4 linked regions of the Oryctolagus cuniculus genome follow. The protein of the gene in region 4 interacts with the protein of the main gene of each other region in a pairwise test. Links are inferred from orthologs where the notes say so. Each region holds a gene or a part of one and is shown on either strand. Other genes may lie near its edges. The genes, in order: TRIM9, ABI2, ZYX and VASP.

Region 1 (3,858 bases), on a different chromosome or scaffold from region 4:
CACACACCTCTCATAGTTTGGGCTACTTTGGGCCTAGTTCTTCTATGAGGTGCTGTGACTCTTTAGCTGTAAGTAATATATTGTCCTCCTTACAACCTGTGAGAGGTGGCATTGGTTACCTCTTTCCTAGAAGCTTGCCTGCCTTCTACCTCTGTGGGCATCATTTGTGGGCAATGATAACAGGTGTGTGTGAGTTATGGCTGACGGATGGAAATGCCTTCTCTCCGAGGGTACTTCTACCAGTCAAAGGCAATAGTGTGCTGTGCCTTGGACTCTGGGCTCCAAAGCTAGGCTATCATGGCTCAAATTTTGGTTCCTTGGACCAGTTCTGAGTGCCATGGTGCTGTAGCTTCCTCACTTCCAGTACAGAAATAATAGTGATAATGACACCATAGAACTGTTGTAGGCAGTAACAGAGAAGATCCCCACAACACGATCTGTATGACATTCCTTCATAGAAAGTGTTCTCAAAGTGTAGCTATTGCCATTATTTTAGAAAAAGATTTATTTATTTATTTGAAAGGCAGAATCACAGAGAGAGAGGAAGAGAAAGAGAGAGAAAGAGATCTTCCATCCATTGGTTCTGCTAGTTCACTCCCCAAATGGTTGCAACAAAGAGGGCTGGCCCAGGCCGAAGCCAGGAGCCAGGAGCCAGGAGCCAGAAGCCAGGAGCCGGGAGCCGGGAGCCGGGAGCCATAGATGCAGAGGCCACCCTCTTGGGCACATTAGCAGGGAGCTGGGTCGAAAGCAGAGCAGCCTGGACTCAAAGTGGAGCTCACATGGAATGCCAGCAGTGCAAGCGGCGGCTTTACCTGCTATGCCACAGTGCCGGCCCTGTCATTATGAAAGCCAGGACTGGGTCACCAAGGATGCTCATTCAGTATTGCAGATTGGGTGACTAGAGAACCATATTTCTGATTTTAATCCAGATAAGAAACAGTGATTCTAGAAAAAAATTTTTTTCACCCAGACCTAACTTAACTTGGATGAAAACGCTTATGGAACAGAACCCTTTTCCAGATGGTTGCAAAGTAAATCTGTAAGATGGATATCCACACGGCAAAACTTTCAGAACTCTTTGGGTAAAAAAGTATCCGTAAGACTGCCCCCACGTCTTCCCCCACATTTCAGGAGTTACCACATATGCTGCCATGAATCATAGCTCAGTATCTCTTTGGGGAATTCAAAAACAAATAACCTGATCACAGCTTTAGGAGACAGGGGCCTGGAAAACGATGAACTAAAAGAAAGCCACGTAGGTAAAAGTCCCCATCACTGGGCACTTTATGGACTATGCATGACACAAGCTACAGAGGGAGCCACCCTCGGAGAGTCCCAGGCCTTATTATTAGCTTTAGCTCCAGCTCGAAGGTTCCATAAGGCTGGGCTCGAGTTCATTCTAAGATCCAGCTGGGAGGGTCTGTTGGTCAGGCCCTCCATCGGGAAACATCAACAGCCACCCTGGAAGGAGCCGTTAGCACTGCCAGCCTTTGTTTCCTGCCAGACCAACAGGTTACGGTCCCTTGAACATTGCAGCCCTGGGGTGCTTTTCTTTCCTTCCTCATGGTTAGAGTCCAGCTTCAAGACACGCAGTTGTCTGTATTAAACAATCTGCTGCACCTCTCCTTGATAAAATCGTGCTGTTGCTGTCAGGAACACACTGGGACACAGCCCCGACCCCGGCTGGAGGTTCAGGCCCGCCCGGTCCCCTTCTGCCTGCCTCATTTCCACCGTCCCCTCTTCTCCATGGTAATTCACAAAGGCGGGGAAGAAAGGTTTATGTCCCTACCACACGCTTGCCCTGGCGCTGGGACAGGAGGGAGCAGATGTGTGGGTCTGAATGTGTTTTGAAGAGCTGCAGGTGGGGAGCAGAGGAGGGATACGCAGAGGGGGAAGCTACAGCTGGGGTTCTGTTTATCTTGGGAGTGAGCTCTGAAGCTTCTCTGGGCAAACGCTTCTCTCACGCTGCCTGGATGCTGTCTTCACAGCAGAGCTAAGTGAGACTCAGGGGCCTACGACGAAGGGGTGCTCTGCTGCTCGGAGCTCGGCATTGCCAGTTTGCCTACCACAGGTCTTGCCTGTAGGCACTATGTAGGTACTAAGCCAACTCAAAGGATGTCAGCCACCAAGCTTTACCCCCTGACATTTGTAAGCTGTGTTCCTTTGTTTCTTCATTCTTGAAACTCCTCCTTGGTTCACCTACAGGAACCTCACTCTTTAGACATGGGGCCTTCTCTTGATCTCTAGGGACTAGCGCCTACTGCTAACCTGACACTGTGCTGTCACTTGTCATCAGCTCTCTGGAGGCTGTCCCTACTCACTGTCGCCTACTACTGAAGCAGCTGGATGCTGACTGCCTGACCTCAACACACAGCCCCAGGCCAACACTGCACACTCCCCTCTCCCCACCGTCCGCCCACTGTGAGTCACCCTGAGGCTTGTGCGGGCAGGCCTCAGCTGACTGCCCACTGCTGGACTCCCTTCTGCCTGGCTCTTCCCATTTGCCTACCCACATCTTCTCACATCTTCTTGCCCTGCTCTCACAGGGTAACAAATGGGACATCACGTGTCTCCAGGGAAACCAGTCCTGCCAATCGGGCCCCAGACTGGTATTCAGTCAATTCCACTGTGTGGTGACAAAAGTCTATCCAGCTGTCCAATATTAAGGTTCCCTTCAGAAGCTAAGACAAAGCTTGTTTGTTTAGATTCTAAAGATTCCATTTCCTTACTCACAAACACATTTCTGACTCTTTGTGGCCACCCCATCTAAAATTTCAACCCCCACCTCAAGGCTCATCATCCCCCTTTCCTGTCTTCTTTTGCTTATTTAGCAACGTTTGCTAACACTGCACGTCTGGCTTAATTCTCGTGCTTACTGTGTCTCTCTCCTGACAGAATAGAAGCCCCACAAAGGCAGCGATTTTGATTTGTTTATTTTTCCTGCACCCAGAGCAGTTTTACTCAACTGACATTGGCTAGGTAAACATGTAGACATGAAGTAGTGAACGGAGGGCTGTGCCTTCTCCCATCTGGCCAGGCCACCGGCCACCCAAGGCTGCGGGCATCCAGCCCTTTCTTCCGTCGTGACCGCTGGCTCCTCGGTCCCTGCTGTCTGCAGGGCGGGCCCAGTGCTCACCTTCAGCTTGTGTTCGTGCTCCTTGTTGACGCGGGCCAGCAGCTGCGCCTTCCTTCTGTTGAGGGCATCGATGAGGGCGTCACACTGGGCCACCAGGCAGGCCTCGAACTCCACACTGTTCTCCTGCGTGAGAGAGGGCATTTCTCAGCTGCAGGGCACGGGGCCCCCCGGCTACCAGGGGAGCAGGAGCCTCCCTGTCCATGCATGGCACAGAGACCCCTGCTGAGGGGAATGAACAAGAACTCTGTGTGTTCATAAAACACAACTGGGCGAGCTTCGCTCTAGAGTGGCAGAGTTTTTGTTTGAAATTTAGATGGAAAATGACAAATATTTATCATCTAAGTCTTTTTTTTTTAATCAAAAGGAAGCCATCTACACGGTCTGGAAGATGTTAAGCTCAATGAAGCCTTGGTTTGTGGCGCTAGACAGGCTCCGCCACACCTAGTGGCACGTGGCAGTCAGCAAGCACCGGGAAGGAAGGGGCATGGCAGTTCCGAACAACCAGAGTTTGTGCCAGTACGGTGAGCATGCTCTGAAAACCATTCACGGACCCACAGCTTGCGGGAGGAAAGGTGCCTATACTAACTCAGCGCTAGCATCCCCAGAATGTCTAAATTAAATGCTGGGCATGAAATTTTTATTTCTAAAAATCTGAAAAAATTTTAAATCTGTACATGCCATAGATATTTCTTTCAACCAATTCTCTCACTGAATTACCAGCA
Region 2 (3,858 bases), on a different chromosome or scaffold from region 4:
ATGAAATATTGTCCATAAGGTATATAATAAAGCATACCATTTATAGAATAAAAAGGTTATTACACAGGGGGAGGATTTAGTGAGGCACATTATCCAGACCTCCATTCCAAAACAAAATTTCTCTAGTTACAAAAATCCAGCTATTTTATTCCAATACAACATTTTACGATAGGATAGATTACATTTCTGCTTCACAAAATGTAACACCATTGCAAAATGACCATTCACTCAACAAATATTTACAAAGTATTTAATGCATGTCAGACACTGTTTTAGGCACAAAGGATAGAGTAGTGAACAAAACAGACAAAAACATCTGCCTTCAAGGTACATGAAGACACATCGCAAACTTGGAAGACAAAAAAAGTACAGTAAAGAAGAGGAATTACTTGTTGGTTTTAGGCCAAGTGCCAAATATCTCATGACTCCCCATATGTAATATTCCACATAAGAACAAAGAATGGAAATCCAGCCCTGGAATCTCTTACCTTAAATCTAAGCAACCACTTAATGCATAAATGGAGCAAATAAAAGAGGTAAGGAAAAAAAGCATTGAAAGGTTAGTTGGAACTTCAGGATGTGAAGAGAAAGGAAAAAAAACGAAAAAACAAGTTAAGCATTCAGCATTAACAAAATAATGTTTCAGTAGATCATAGAAAGAGTGGTTAAAGCAGAATGTGTCATGAACAGGAGTTTCCTGGATGAAATTATTTAAGATACTCTTTTATTCAAAAGCTTAGTTTTACTAAAGACTTCTTCACATTAGTGACTCCAAACAATGAAAGGACTACGGAGTCCTAAAAGAGTAACATTGACTGTGAGGATCAAACAAAGAGGGAGGAGAATCATCTTCTTACTGTAGAAGCAGGCAAGCACAACTGTGATGTCTGTACCACAAAACTGTCTCTTGGCATTAGATTCTGGCAGTACCCTAACACTCTATTAGCAGTTGTTAGCCTTGAATAAATTTTCCCAAGTTAGAATAAATCCCAGCCATTAATTAACCATCCAATTAAACATCCTTTTTCAACATGCTCTAGTTAGGATAATAATCTGAATGCATTTAGGTATCAATTATAAAATTAAATACAAAATTCCAGATAATAATGGCTATATCTAAACTCTGAGGGAGAAAAAGATTTTAAAAATGAATTTATATTATATGTTTTTTCAGTCAGATATAAATTAAATTTAGATTTATTTTATTTCCAGCCATTATGGTGTAGGTGTTTTATTTAACTACACTTATATTAGAAAAAAACAACTGTTTGAACTGTAAAGTTTCATGACAGGCATTTACATGTATTTATTCAAAGTCACATTTGATAAGTCACTGTCCTTCAAATCAGCAGATGTAAACTTCGAACAACCTAATATTTATCCGAAGATCTGAATAGTTTAAATATAAATACCAATTAAAATGAAATTCGCGTTTCTCAGTACTAATTATAATACATACACCAGACACTCAAATACATCTTAAAACACAGCCAAAATGTATAATGTCCACATACTCAAAAGTGCTGGGTAGCTATACTACTCTCATACAAAATACTGATAAAATAATTTTATAAAAATTCAAAGTACATATTTATTAATATATCTTTTTTCTGAAAACTAATGCCAAGTCTGCTGATAAACTGAAATGAGATAATCACTTTATTAACAGGTTGAGTAATTTTTAATCAATCAATAATCATTAGAAGATTATACCACATAAACTCAATATATATTTGGCAATATAATGAAGCAGATGCAATTCAAAGGTGACTGTTTAAAACTTGAGAGTACAGCACTAAGAAAAAAAAAAGGAAAGATAAAAGAGTTATAACAGCAAGCAATCTTCACAACCACAACTGAGTGAAGACTTGGTTCTCTAGGAAAGGAGAGATAAAAGCTTAAAAAGAGTTAGTTCCAGTATGGGCTACTATTTTAAAAAGCTTGACAAAAATCATACCTACCTTTACTCCATGTCCAATGTCATCTAGAATTGTATAGTCAATAGGTTTTCTAATATAACGAACTGGCCGTTCAAGGTTGGCTGGAGCAATAATCTTATGTGTCCTTGAAGTGTTTTTATTGGTAGTCAAAATTCCAATTTCTCTTCTTGCAACTTTCTCTTTATGAATATCAACTGTCTGTAAAATACAAAAAAACACAACCAGAAAATGTATAGGGCTGATAACTAGAAAAACTCATAAATATCCCCAATTTAACATTGCTTGCTTCTATTCTCAACTATGCAAGTTAAATTTTCTCTTTTCTTAACTACTGACTTTATCCATTTTTTGGCTAATGCGAGGGTTGGAAAACCACAGACCACAGGCCAAATCTGACCACCAACTGATTTTTAATATCCCACAAGCTAAAAGTAGTGTTTGTGTTTTTTTAATGTTTGATGGAAAAAAAATATATCAAAAGAAAAATAATGTGGTGACGTGAAAATTACATGAAAATCCAATTTCAGGGTCAGGCATTTGGCACAGCAGCTAAGACACTGCTTGGGACACATGCATCCTAGACTGCAGTGCCTGCTTTCGAGTCCTGTCTCCCAAGTTCAGCTTTCTACTAGCAGACACTCTGGGGGCCAGATGATGGCTCAGGCGCTTCAGGCCCTGCCACCTACACAGCATATCCCAGTGGAGTCTGGGGTCACTGGCTTTGGCCTAGCACAGCCCTGGCTGTTGAGCATATTTGGAAAATGAACTAGTGGATGGAAAGTCTAACTTTGTTTCTCAAGTAAGAGAAAACAGAATAATTTTAAATGATTGTTTTAAGAAGGAATCTCAAAATTCAGTTTCCCTAAGTAAATATTGGAATAGTCACGCTGACGTAAATAACTTGCTTACTCCCCCATGGCTGGCTACAAGATCAGACAGGAGCAGTCCCAACAAAGACTTTATGAACCACAAAGCCTTAGCATTCATTAGCTTGTCCCTTTATAGGAAAAAACTGCCAACTTCCAGGTTAAAGCATGTAATCCTTCCTCTACATTAAACTGGGGGAGAAGGGAGGGTAACCATATGGCACAGCTATTTTTGGGCCCCACAACTATTTCGGAGTGCCAGTTCGAGTCCCTACTCTTCCACTTCTCAACCAACTTCCTGCTGGTGCATTTTGGCGGGCAGCAAATGGTAGTTCCAGTGCTTGGGCCCCTACCACCCAGTCCGAAGACCTGGATGAAGTTCCAGACTCATGGCTCTTGCAAGTACTTGGGGAGTGAATCAGTAAATGAAAGATTCATTCATTTTCTCTTTCTCTCTCTCTCTCTCTTTCTGCCTTTCAAGCAAATAAAAATAAATATATTTTAAAAAATTTAACAGAATATGATTATGAGGACCCCAATAACTAATCTGGTTACATTTTAAAAATAATTAGTATAAATTTCAGTTACTATTTAAATTTTTTTATGTAAGAAATGGGAGAGCTAAAAATTAAATACAGCATCAAAAATGAGTTATTAGTGACAAAATATTACTAAACAAATATTTCATTAATTTCTATTTATTAAATGCTCACATAGCACATAATTTACAATAGAATGACACTGTGTTTTTACTCACAGTCTTCAAAACACAGTGAAGTTCTCCACATATGCAGGTAATTAACACACTAAAAAACATTTTTTAAAACTGAAATTTGCAATTTAGTGGCATGTAAACATTCATTATTTCAAGTGAAATAAGACAGAAACATCACATTGAATGTACCACAGTAAGGTAAGTACATTTCCAAAAGCATGTTTGTCACAGAAGTCCTTCACAAAGTGTGAAAGATAACAGAATTAAAAAGATATGGGGCTGGTGTTGTGGCTGAAGGAGTTAAGCTGCTGCCAATGACCTTGGTTTATCCATACTG
Region 3 (4,452 bases), on a different chromosome or scaffold from region 4:
AGATCTCATCCGAACTGCAGGGCACGCTTTGCCTCGTGCTTTTCCATTTAGGGCATTTATGTAATACCGAACCCAGCACTTCGCAAGCATTCATCCAATTACTCTTCACAACCACTATATGGGGTAGTGTTAATTTTTAAAGGGGAAACTGGGGCTTGGAGTTCACCTAACTTGCCCAAACAGCAGATGAGATGTGGAGCTGGGGATTCTATCCCAGCCCCATCTGACACCCGGAGGCCAAACCTCTCTGGGAGATCACTTCGCTCCCTTGTCCCAGACTCCAGAGCACAGAACACAGTGCCTGGCATCCAGCTGATGTTGGCTCAGTCTTTGTTTACTGGGGCTGTGGCTCTTATCTCCAGATGGGCCCTCGGGCAGTGAAAGGACCAGAGGAGCTGCGAGATTAACTTAAGGCCCAGGAATGGGGAAAAACCAACATTGGACCGGTGATGTCATCCTCCCCTTTAACCTCCCAGGGCAGAAGCGCAAGAGAATGTGCACCAAATCCTCTAATTCCAAATCTGGAGCCACGCCCCAGCCAGCCCCTGCAGAAACTCTCTCCCTTCCCATTGTCTGACCGATGGACCCACCACACTGATGCCCACCCCATCTCTCCCAAGCCACCTCCACTGTGATTCCCTCCCCCAGCACCCTGGTCTCGGCCCTGACCTATCTCGCCCCCTCACCTGGTTTTGCTTCTGAGCAGGTGGGGGCACTGGGTGCTGCTTCTCCTGCACGCGGGGCTTCTCTTTCTGCTGAGCATAGGTGAAGCTGGGGGGTTGAGGGGAACCCGTGCCAGTGGAAGAAGCAGCTTCCGGAGGTCCCAGCTTTTGACTGGGCTGTGACCCAGGGCCACCGGGGGCTCCAGGGCTGAACTTGGAAGCCACGGGAGTAAACTTGGGAGCCACTGGAGAAAACTTAGGGGCTGGTGCTGGAGGTGGAGCTGGAGGACCTCGGGACTGCGCGTTAGCGGAAGACACAGGCTGGGAATGAGCCTGGGGCTGAGGCTGCACATGCAGCTGGACCTGAGGCTTGGTCTGGGGCTGGGCCTGGGGCTGAGCCTGGGGCTGGACATGGAACAGCGCTTGGCTCTGAGGCTGGGACACGGGCTGGGAGCTGGGAGGTGCCTTCCAGGGGGGCAAGGGTGCTGTGCCCCCGGTCGCAGGCTTAGTACTGGACTTGGGAATGAATGGAGTGGCAACTGGAGGGGGCACATATCCAGATGACACCTGCAAGAGAGGCAGAGGGAGAGAAGCAAGTTAGAGGCAGGGGCTGCCCTCCACGCTTCCTTCTCCAGTCTCTCCTCCCTGGCACTCAGGGTGCCTACTCCCCAGGCCCTTACCCGGGCTTTGAAGGGATCATTCTTGGTCATGTCATCCAGCAGTGAGGACAGAGAGTCGATCTCCAGGTCGATGCTGCTCACCTTCTCCCTGGGCTACAGGATCAGGGGTCAGAGCATCCATCCCCGTCTCCCATTCCCACGCCACCCCTCCCGCAACAGGGCAGAGGTACAGGGGCAGGTCACAGCAGGCCCCCTTCTCTCCTTTCCTTGAGGCGTCCCAGTGCACTGACCCCTCCCCAGGCCTCCATACCTGCGGCGGGGGCGGCATGGGGGCCTCGGGCGTGCCCTCATCCTCCAGCGGGGGCGGTGGAGAAGGAAAGATGTCCTCCTCGGAAGGTGCAGGGGGGAACGGTTCCTCGATCGGGGGAGGCGGCGGGGGGAAGGCACCTCCCAGCGCACCCTCCGCGTCGTCGCCATCCCCAGGTGGGGGAGGCGGGGGTAAGGGAAAGTCTAGGGCGGGGAGAGAAGCGGCCATCGGCAGCGGCCCCGCCACCGCTGCCCCAAGCTGCCCTCCGTCCACAGCTCTGACTCTAACCCTAACCCAAGAACTGCCTCGGGGGTCCTGGAGTGTGCGGGAAGGGAAAGGAGGGGTGCAGGGCGCCCAGGGGGGCACAGGTCAGGAAAGGCCGGAGGTGGGGGGGCACGGCCGAGGAGTGGTGCGGCTCCCGTTACACTTGGGAAAACGGACCCACAGGGGAAGATTCGTGGCCCACATTCCCGCCTCCCACCCCCAGGCGGGGACTTGGAACGATCCCAGGAGCCCTGGCTCCCAGCCATGAGCTCCACGATGAGGTAAGAACATCTGCTCGGGACAGGGTGGCTGCACCCAGCCCCCTCCGCAGCTACCTTTGCAGGCGTCCCCCCGCCCCTTGCTCAATCCCACTGCCCCCACCCCGCCGCCCGCGGGGGTCCAGCCCCTCAGCCCTGCCGCATACCTTCCGGGGGCGGCGGGGGGATCTCGCCCACCCGGCCCATCTGTGCGCGCTGGGCCCCGGCTGCCGCTGGAGGCTCGCCGTCCCCGGGCCGGAAAGGATTTACTTTGGGCTTCGGTGCCACCACCGGGCCGAACTTCTTCTGCGGGGCGTAAAACGCCGGAGCCGAGACCGAGACGGAGATCGCGGGAGGCGGGCGGGGGGCCGCCATGGCCTGGCCGGGCTGCTGGGGGTGGGTCTCCAGGTTACGCGGCGCCGAACTGCGCTGGGCTGGGCAGGAGACTCCCCCGGAGGCCCGAGCGCCTCCCGACGACCCCCACCCGCCGCCTCCCGGAGCCCCGCGCCCCGCGCCTCACCGCGGACCGGAGCGTGCGCGCCGCGTCTCCAGTGGCCGCCTCGGCGCCGGGTCTGCGGACTGTGCGTCCCGGTCCCGAGCAGCCTCCAGCCAGGCGGGGGAGGGACGCAGGGAAGAGGAGGGAGGGCGGCAGGGGGCGGGGAGAGAGCGGCGCCGCGACCATACAAGGAGCGGCCCGGAGAGGGGGCGGGGAGAGACAGGGCGGGCGCGGCAGGAAACTCCCCCAGGAAGGGGCCCAGATCCTGCCCTGGGCCGAGGGCTCCGCTAAGGTCCGCCCGCCCCCGCCGCACTCCCAGCCGTGCTCGCAGCCCTGGCCGGTCGCAGACCACCCCTCCCTGAGCACAGGCCTCTGATGTCATTTCCTGACCTGCCCCCCCACCCCCAACTCCGCGCCCGTCAGCGGGTGCCGGAGATCTGACTCACTGGCCCCACTCCGGGCTGAGCCGGCGGAGGTCGAAAGGGTCCCCCGAGGCAACGGAGCGAGCAGCCCCCTTGCGCCTCCGCCCTGGCCCAGCCGCCTCCTCTGGGGCCTGCAGTTACCTGCGGCCCTGCCACCCTCACGGCTGCACCTCCCACGCCGTCGGCAGCACCGCGCCCCGAGAACCCACCGGCCAGCGCTGGCTGCAGGACCAGGACCAGGGCCGTTCTCGTCCCGCGCCCTCCTGGCAGGCCCTTCGGCGATCGGTGGCTGTGTGAGCCTGAACCTCTTGCGACCTAGGGGTATCGTAACTTCCAACCCTAGGCAGCCTCTGCAGGCTTCTAGGAATTCGCAACACTGGCGCCCCCGGCTGCGGATCAGTTGCGCCAGAGATATTCTGGACCAGCGGGCCCGAGGGAGGTAGGTAGGGGGCTGCTCAGCCCTGGCCAGGGCAGCCGGAGGATCTAGTAGGACCCGGGGAGACGTGGACGCGAGCAACAAGCCTGCCACAGCTGAGCCTCCGCCGCGACCCACGCCTTCGGGAGCCTCCCGAGCGACACAGCTCGGTAGAGCCCCCACTCATCCGACCGGGTTGCTCAGCCCCAGGCTACGCCAAGGAGACCAAACCTGAGTGCCACTTTTTATTTTTTAATTGCGCACGGAAACTTACCCAGTGGCTGAACTCCACGCTTGCAAAGCTATGGAGTCTAGGCCTTTGCCCTCTAGTCCAGTATCCACCCACTCTCCACTCTCTCATTCCATCAGCCCTGAGTGACATCTGAAACAGACCTCTTGTTGACTCAGTGTCTCCGCCCTGGCCCTCCAAACCGACTGAACCCCACTGCCAAGGAGCATCTGGGAGATGCTTTTGAGAGCATCCAGACTCGCCCCTTACTTCACGCTGGGGAAGTGGAGGCTGCCCGCTGAGGGGGTGGGCCCGGTCACACCCACGAAGCAGCCGGCTTCCTCCAGCACCTGCCGTCAGGTGGAGCAATGCTAGGGCCAGCCTGACGCCCAGGCCAGCCGGCCTCTTCCCACTTCCCCTTCTCCACTTGTGAAAGAGCCATGGTGTTTCACCCACCCCGCTTACTGCATTCTACAGAAGTAAATGAAATGCCATGTCTGCAAGTGCTATATAATCCTCAGTGTTATTATTTTTTAAAAGACTTATTTATTTGAGAAGCAGAGTTACAGAGAGAGGGAAACACAAAGAGAGAGGTCTTCCATCTTGGTTCACTCCCTAAATGGCTGCAACGGCCAGAACTGGGCTGATCTGAAGCCAAGAGCCTGGAGCTTCTTCCAGGTTTCCCACGAAGTTGCAGGGGCCAACACACTTGGGCCATCTTCTGCTGCTTTCCTAGGCCATCAGCAGGGAGCTGGATCGGAAGAGGAGCAGCGACACTTG
Region 4 (3,858 bases):
ACTGCCTTGCCAGACTCTGTGTCCGTCATTGAAGCAGCTCCGGGGGAAACAGGTCATCTTGGGAACATGTCTGAGACGGTGGCGTCCACCTGCAGAGTGGGTCGGGTGTTGGGGAACTCTGGGGGAGCGGGGACAGGGTTGACCCCGGAGCGTTTGCCCAGTGGGGAAACCGCAGCCCTGCATGGACCCAGGGACCTGCCCTGGCTGTCTCCGGCATGAAGGGGACGGGGCAGGGGAGCGGCCTGGCCAGGGACCACGAGGGGTTCCAGCAGAGAACCCAGCGTCCGTCCATCCGTGCGTGAGGGAGAGGCATGGAGGACGGAGCCGGCCTCCGGCCCCTCACAGCAGCCCTGCCAATCACCCAGAGAGTTTAGCATTTGTAAAAACCGGCAGATTTATTCCACGGGGGCCCATTTTATGAGGCTGAGGGGGAGGTGGGGGCAGAGGCCGCCTCCCCCCTGTTTCGCCCTCATCTTCCCAAGGTGGGTGAAAATGGCCAGGGCCCCACCTACCCAAATACAAAACCAAAAAACTGAGGTTCCAAAAAGTTACAGCATCTTAATTCCTCATAGAAAAGGGGAAGGAGCCAGAGGGAGGGAAGTCCCCGGGGTGGGGGCGGCACCCCAGCCCGACAGGACGTCCCCCGGCAGCTGCCCCAACCAGGGCACGCCGAGGGCCACAGCATTAAAAACCCCCACACCCCATGTTATCAAAACCAAAGAGGCAAAAAAAAGTACCCTTCCCCCCCAAAACCCAAATATATATATATATTTATATACTTCTTAAAAAACAAAACTTCGAAGGCATTAAGCGTTAAAGTGAATCTAAACAAGGGAATGTGAATTCCCTCTTCCCTTCCCCCTTACTGTGGGGTTAATGGTACATCCCCAGCAGAGGAACCAGCCCCAAGGGGATGGCAGAGGGGAAGGACCAAAGGGAGCAAAGGGTGGGGGCCTCCCCAGCCAATCAGCAGCCAGTACGGGTGTGGGCACGGTGCAGGGAAGCCACACCCCCTTGGAATCTTCCAAGTGGGAGGGGGCAGGGGGAGATGCATTCCCGTGTAGTCTTCAGCCAATTCCACGTGGAGTCGAGGCAGGGAAGCAGGGTAACAGGCGGGGTGTGCGGAAAGAAGTGGGCCCCTGCGGTCAGGGGGAGCCCCGCTTCCTCAGCTCCTGGACAAAGGCTGGAAGGAAAGAGGGGGCAAAGCTCAGGGCAGGGGCTCTTTCCCCTTCCGTTCCAATCTTCCCAAAAGACAGGCGGCCTCCAAACCACACAGGCGCCTCACGGGGCGGGGCGCGGGCAGGCGCCTCACCTTCGATGATCTCCTCTTTCACCTTCCGCAGCTCCTTCCTCACCTCCTCCAGCAGCTCCTGGAACCACAGGGTTCACCAGTGGGCGGGGCCCGGAGCGGCAGGAAGCCCCCTGTCTCCCACTCGCTGAGAGTCGGAGGAAGCGGGCTGGAGACCGCCCGGCCCCGCCCTCCCTGCCAAGGTCACAGAGAGAACTGGAGGGCATCCAGGACACAGGCTGGCAAACGCCTCCCAGCCTCCTGCCAGCTCCGGCGGGGTCTCAGGTGCTCATCGGAAAGGAGTGTGGTGATGGATTATAAGGCCTGTCACAGCCGTTGAAAGGGGTGCGGCACCTGCGTCATCCCTGACCCCGCCGATGGCTCCCCCTTCTCAGACCGGACACCCAGGGTCTGGACCCAGCGCCCCTCCTGCCGTGGGCCCTGGCTAGGCCCCCACCTGCACCTTCCACCCCTACCTGTTTCACCCGCTCCAGGTCCGAGTCGTCACCGGAGCTGTGGTGGGAGGGGTGGGCCTCGGGGGTGGCCACCGAAGACGAGGACTTCATCCTGGGGGGGACAGAAGCGAAGTCAGAGGCCCTGCCACCCGCGGAGGCGCCGCGCCCGCCGCGCCCCCCGCGCCCGCTGCGCCCGCCGCGCCCGCCGGCCCACCTGGGCAAGGTCGTGCTGTTCTTCTCCCAGGGCCTCCGCACAGATTCTGGGGAGCAGGCAACAAACCGCAAGGTCAGGGCAAAGGATTCCTCCCCCAGCCAGCAGCCCCTCTGCAGAGAAACCCCCAGGAGAGGCCCGCCCCTCCCCCGGGCCGCCCGGCACTCACCGCTGTGGACCGGGACGCGGGCCTCTGGCTCCTCCTGCTGGCAGGAAATGAAACCGTCATGAGCAGCCCCGCCACGCTGCCCCGGGACCCCACCGAGCCCCTCACTCACACTGGCAGATTCGTCCTTGGGGGGCTTCTCGCCAACCTGCGAGGCTTTCCTCCTGCGGGAGGGAGGGACGAGAAGAGAAGCCTCAGCCCCCCCACTCGCAGCTGCGGGCCCAGGGTTCTAGAAAGTGGCCCTTGTGTGTGGGGGGGGGGGGGGCTGCACGGCCAAGGCTAAGGAAGCTGGGATGGGGGGGGGTCTTCCTGTGGCCCTCACATCTGGAACCCTAACGTCCTAAGGGGGGAAGGGACTCTGGGAACTAAAATCCTAGGAGTCAGTTTCTAGAACATTCCGCAGGCGCCACAGGTAGGGCTTTCAGCACAAGCAGCAAACAGGAACCAGAGCCCGCCCCCCGCCCCCGCCCCCCCGCCAGCCTGCAGGGCTGGGGTCCCAGGCAGGGGGGTGGGCCCAGGCTCACCTCCGGGCCAACATGGCGTTCATCTCCTCCATGAGCCCCCCGCCTGTGCTCCGGCCACTCTCAGCTTTGGGGCCCGGGGGCCCCCCTGAGACTTCCTCTTGCTGAGGACGGTAAAAGGGAGCAGAGGGCTTGCGGGTGGGCCTCCCGTGACAGGCAGCCCCCAGCCCATTGTTACCTCAGGGCCAGCCCCCCCCCCCCCCCCCGCGGGCCCCTCACCTTGCTGACTTTCCTGAGTTTGGCTCCAGCAATGGCTGCGGCCAGGCCGGGGGCTCCAGTCCCCCCACCACTGGGGCCCTGGGCTGTGGGGAGAGGGGGTGCAGGGGGTGGGCCCCCCCCTGCCGGGGGCAGCCCTGGGGGTGGGGGGGGACCCGGCGGAGGGGGCGGTCCTGGAGGCGGGGGTGGGCCCCCGGCTGGGGGAGCAGGCGGGCCTCCTGAAACAAGGCAGAGCAGGGGTGGCTCAGAGAGGAGCCAGCCCCTCCTCCAGGGGGGGCTCTGGGCTCGGCCCGCCCCCCACCCCCGCAAGCCCAGTTACCTGCGTTGCACACGCGGCGCTCCATCTGCTCCGGCTGCTGCCTGTGGGGGGGACTGCGGTCACCACCGCCCCGGCCCCTCCGCAGGGCCCAAGGGGTGGCGCGGGAATGTTCTAGACTGTCACCGACACCCGGGGTCCTCTCAGGACGAGGGTTTGGGGACTGGGGGTCCTGCGTCTCTGAGCGCCAGGGATTTTCTTAAAGTCTCAGAGGTGGGGGCTCCCAAAAGCGGGCAACTCCTAGTCCCTGGGGAGTTGGAACATTCTGGAAACTGGACGTCGGAGGATGCTGGGACATCTAGAATCTGGCAGTAAGGGCCCCCAGCCAAGGGGCCAGCCCTACCTTTTGTGCTGCTCCACCTCTTCCGGGGAGGGGCCGTTCTGGCTGGCCCACGCGGCAGGTGCTGGGGGCGGCGGAGGCCCACCTCCTGGGGGTGGCAGGGGAGACAGAGCCGGGGTCAGCCTTGCCTGTGGCCTCCCCCACCCGGCTCAGGAATCCCACCCAGGGGCACTCACTTCCTTCCTCCCCCAGACCCTGGGCAGGGGCGACACCACTCCCCCTGCCAGGGCGGCCAGGACGCCCGGGGACAGTGGGGAAGCCGAGTCCAGGTGGACCCCTCCCCCTTGCCTCCCTCGGTCCTGCCCAGCCCCGGGTGGCCAGGGGGCCCGGAGTCGCAACCACCTC

The links.
Region 1: the proteins of VASP (region 4) and TRIM9 interact in binary tests that used the Homo sapiens proteins (3 or more experiments, as listed by UniProt). The two-hybrid records come from large-scale screens. The link is inferred for Oryctolagus cuniculus from reciprocal best matches to the Homo sapiens genes VASP and TRIM9.
Region 2: the proteins of VASP (region 4) and ABI2 interact in binary tests that used the Homo sapiens proteins (3 or more experiments, as listed by UniProt). The link is inferred for Oryctolagus cuniculus from reciprocal best matches to the Homo sapiens genes VASP and ABI2.
Region 3: the proteins of VASP (region 4) and ZYX interact in binary tests that used the Homo sapiens proteins (3 or more experiments, as listed by UniProt). The link is inferred for Oryctolagus cuniculus from reciprocal best matches to the Homo sapiens genes VASP and ZYX.

Annotation. Positions count from the first base shown.
Region 1 is NC_091443.1:25,168,350-25,172,207, reverse strand, and holds part of TRIM9 (E3 ubiquitin-protein ligase TRIM9), read right to left. Parts: intron 3,260-3,858; coding exon 3,137-3,259; intron 1-3,136. UniProt on the Homo sapiens protein: E3 ubiquitin-protein ligase which ubiquitinates itself in cooperation with an E2 enzyme UBE2D2/UBC4 and serves as a targeting signal for proteasomal degradation.
Region 2 is NC_091434.1:36,683,039-36,686,896, forward strand, and holds part of ABI2 (abl interactor 2), read right to left. Parts: intron 2,139-3,858; coding exon 1,962-2,138; intron 507-1,961; coding exon 489-506; intron 1-488. UniProt on the Homo sapiens protein: Regulator of actin cytoskeleton dynamics underlying cell motility and adhesion. Functions as a component of the WAVE complex, which activates actin nucleating machinery Arp2/3 to drive lamellipodia formation.
Region 3 is NC_091434.1:180,378,173-180,382,624, forward strand, and holds the start of ZYX (zyxin), read right to left. Parts: upstream 2,823-4,452; 5' UTR 2,793-2,822; coding exon 2,631-2,792; intron 2,501-2,630; coding exon 2,278-2,500; intron 1,793-2,277; coding exon 1,593-1,792; intron 1,436-1,592; coding exon 1,343-1,435; intron 1,230-1,342; coding exon 687-1,229; intron 1-686. UniProt on the Homo sapiens protein: Adhesion plaque protein. Binds alpha-actinin and the CRP protein. Important for targeting TES and ENA/VASP family members to focal adhesions and for the formation of actin-rich structures.
Region 4 is NC_091449.1:11,377,479-11,381,336, forward strand, and holds the end of VASP (vasodilator-stimulated phosphoprotein), read right to left. Parts: intron 3,602-3,858; coding exon 3,517-3,601; intron 3,218-3,516; coding exon 3,177-3,217; intron 3,076-3,176; coding exon 2,861-3,075; intron 2,746-2,860; coding exon 2,645-2,745; intron 2,285-2,644; coding exon 2,233-2,284; intron 2,161-2,232; coding exon 2,124-2,160; intron 2,004-2,123; coding exon 1,958-2,003; intron 1,856-1,957; coding exon 1,765-1,855; intron 1,371-1,764; coding exon 1,313-1,370; intron 1,184-1,312; coding exon 1,146-1,183; 3' UTR 370-1,145; downstream 1-369. UniProt on the Homo sapiens protein: Ena/VASP proteins are actin-associated proteins involved in a range of processes dependent on cytoskeleton remodeling and cell polarity such as axon guidance, lamellipodial and filopodial dynamics, platelet activation and cell migration.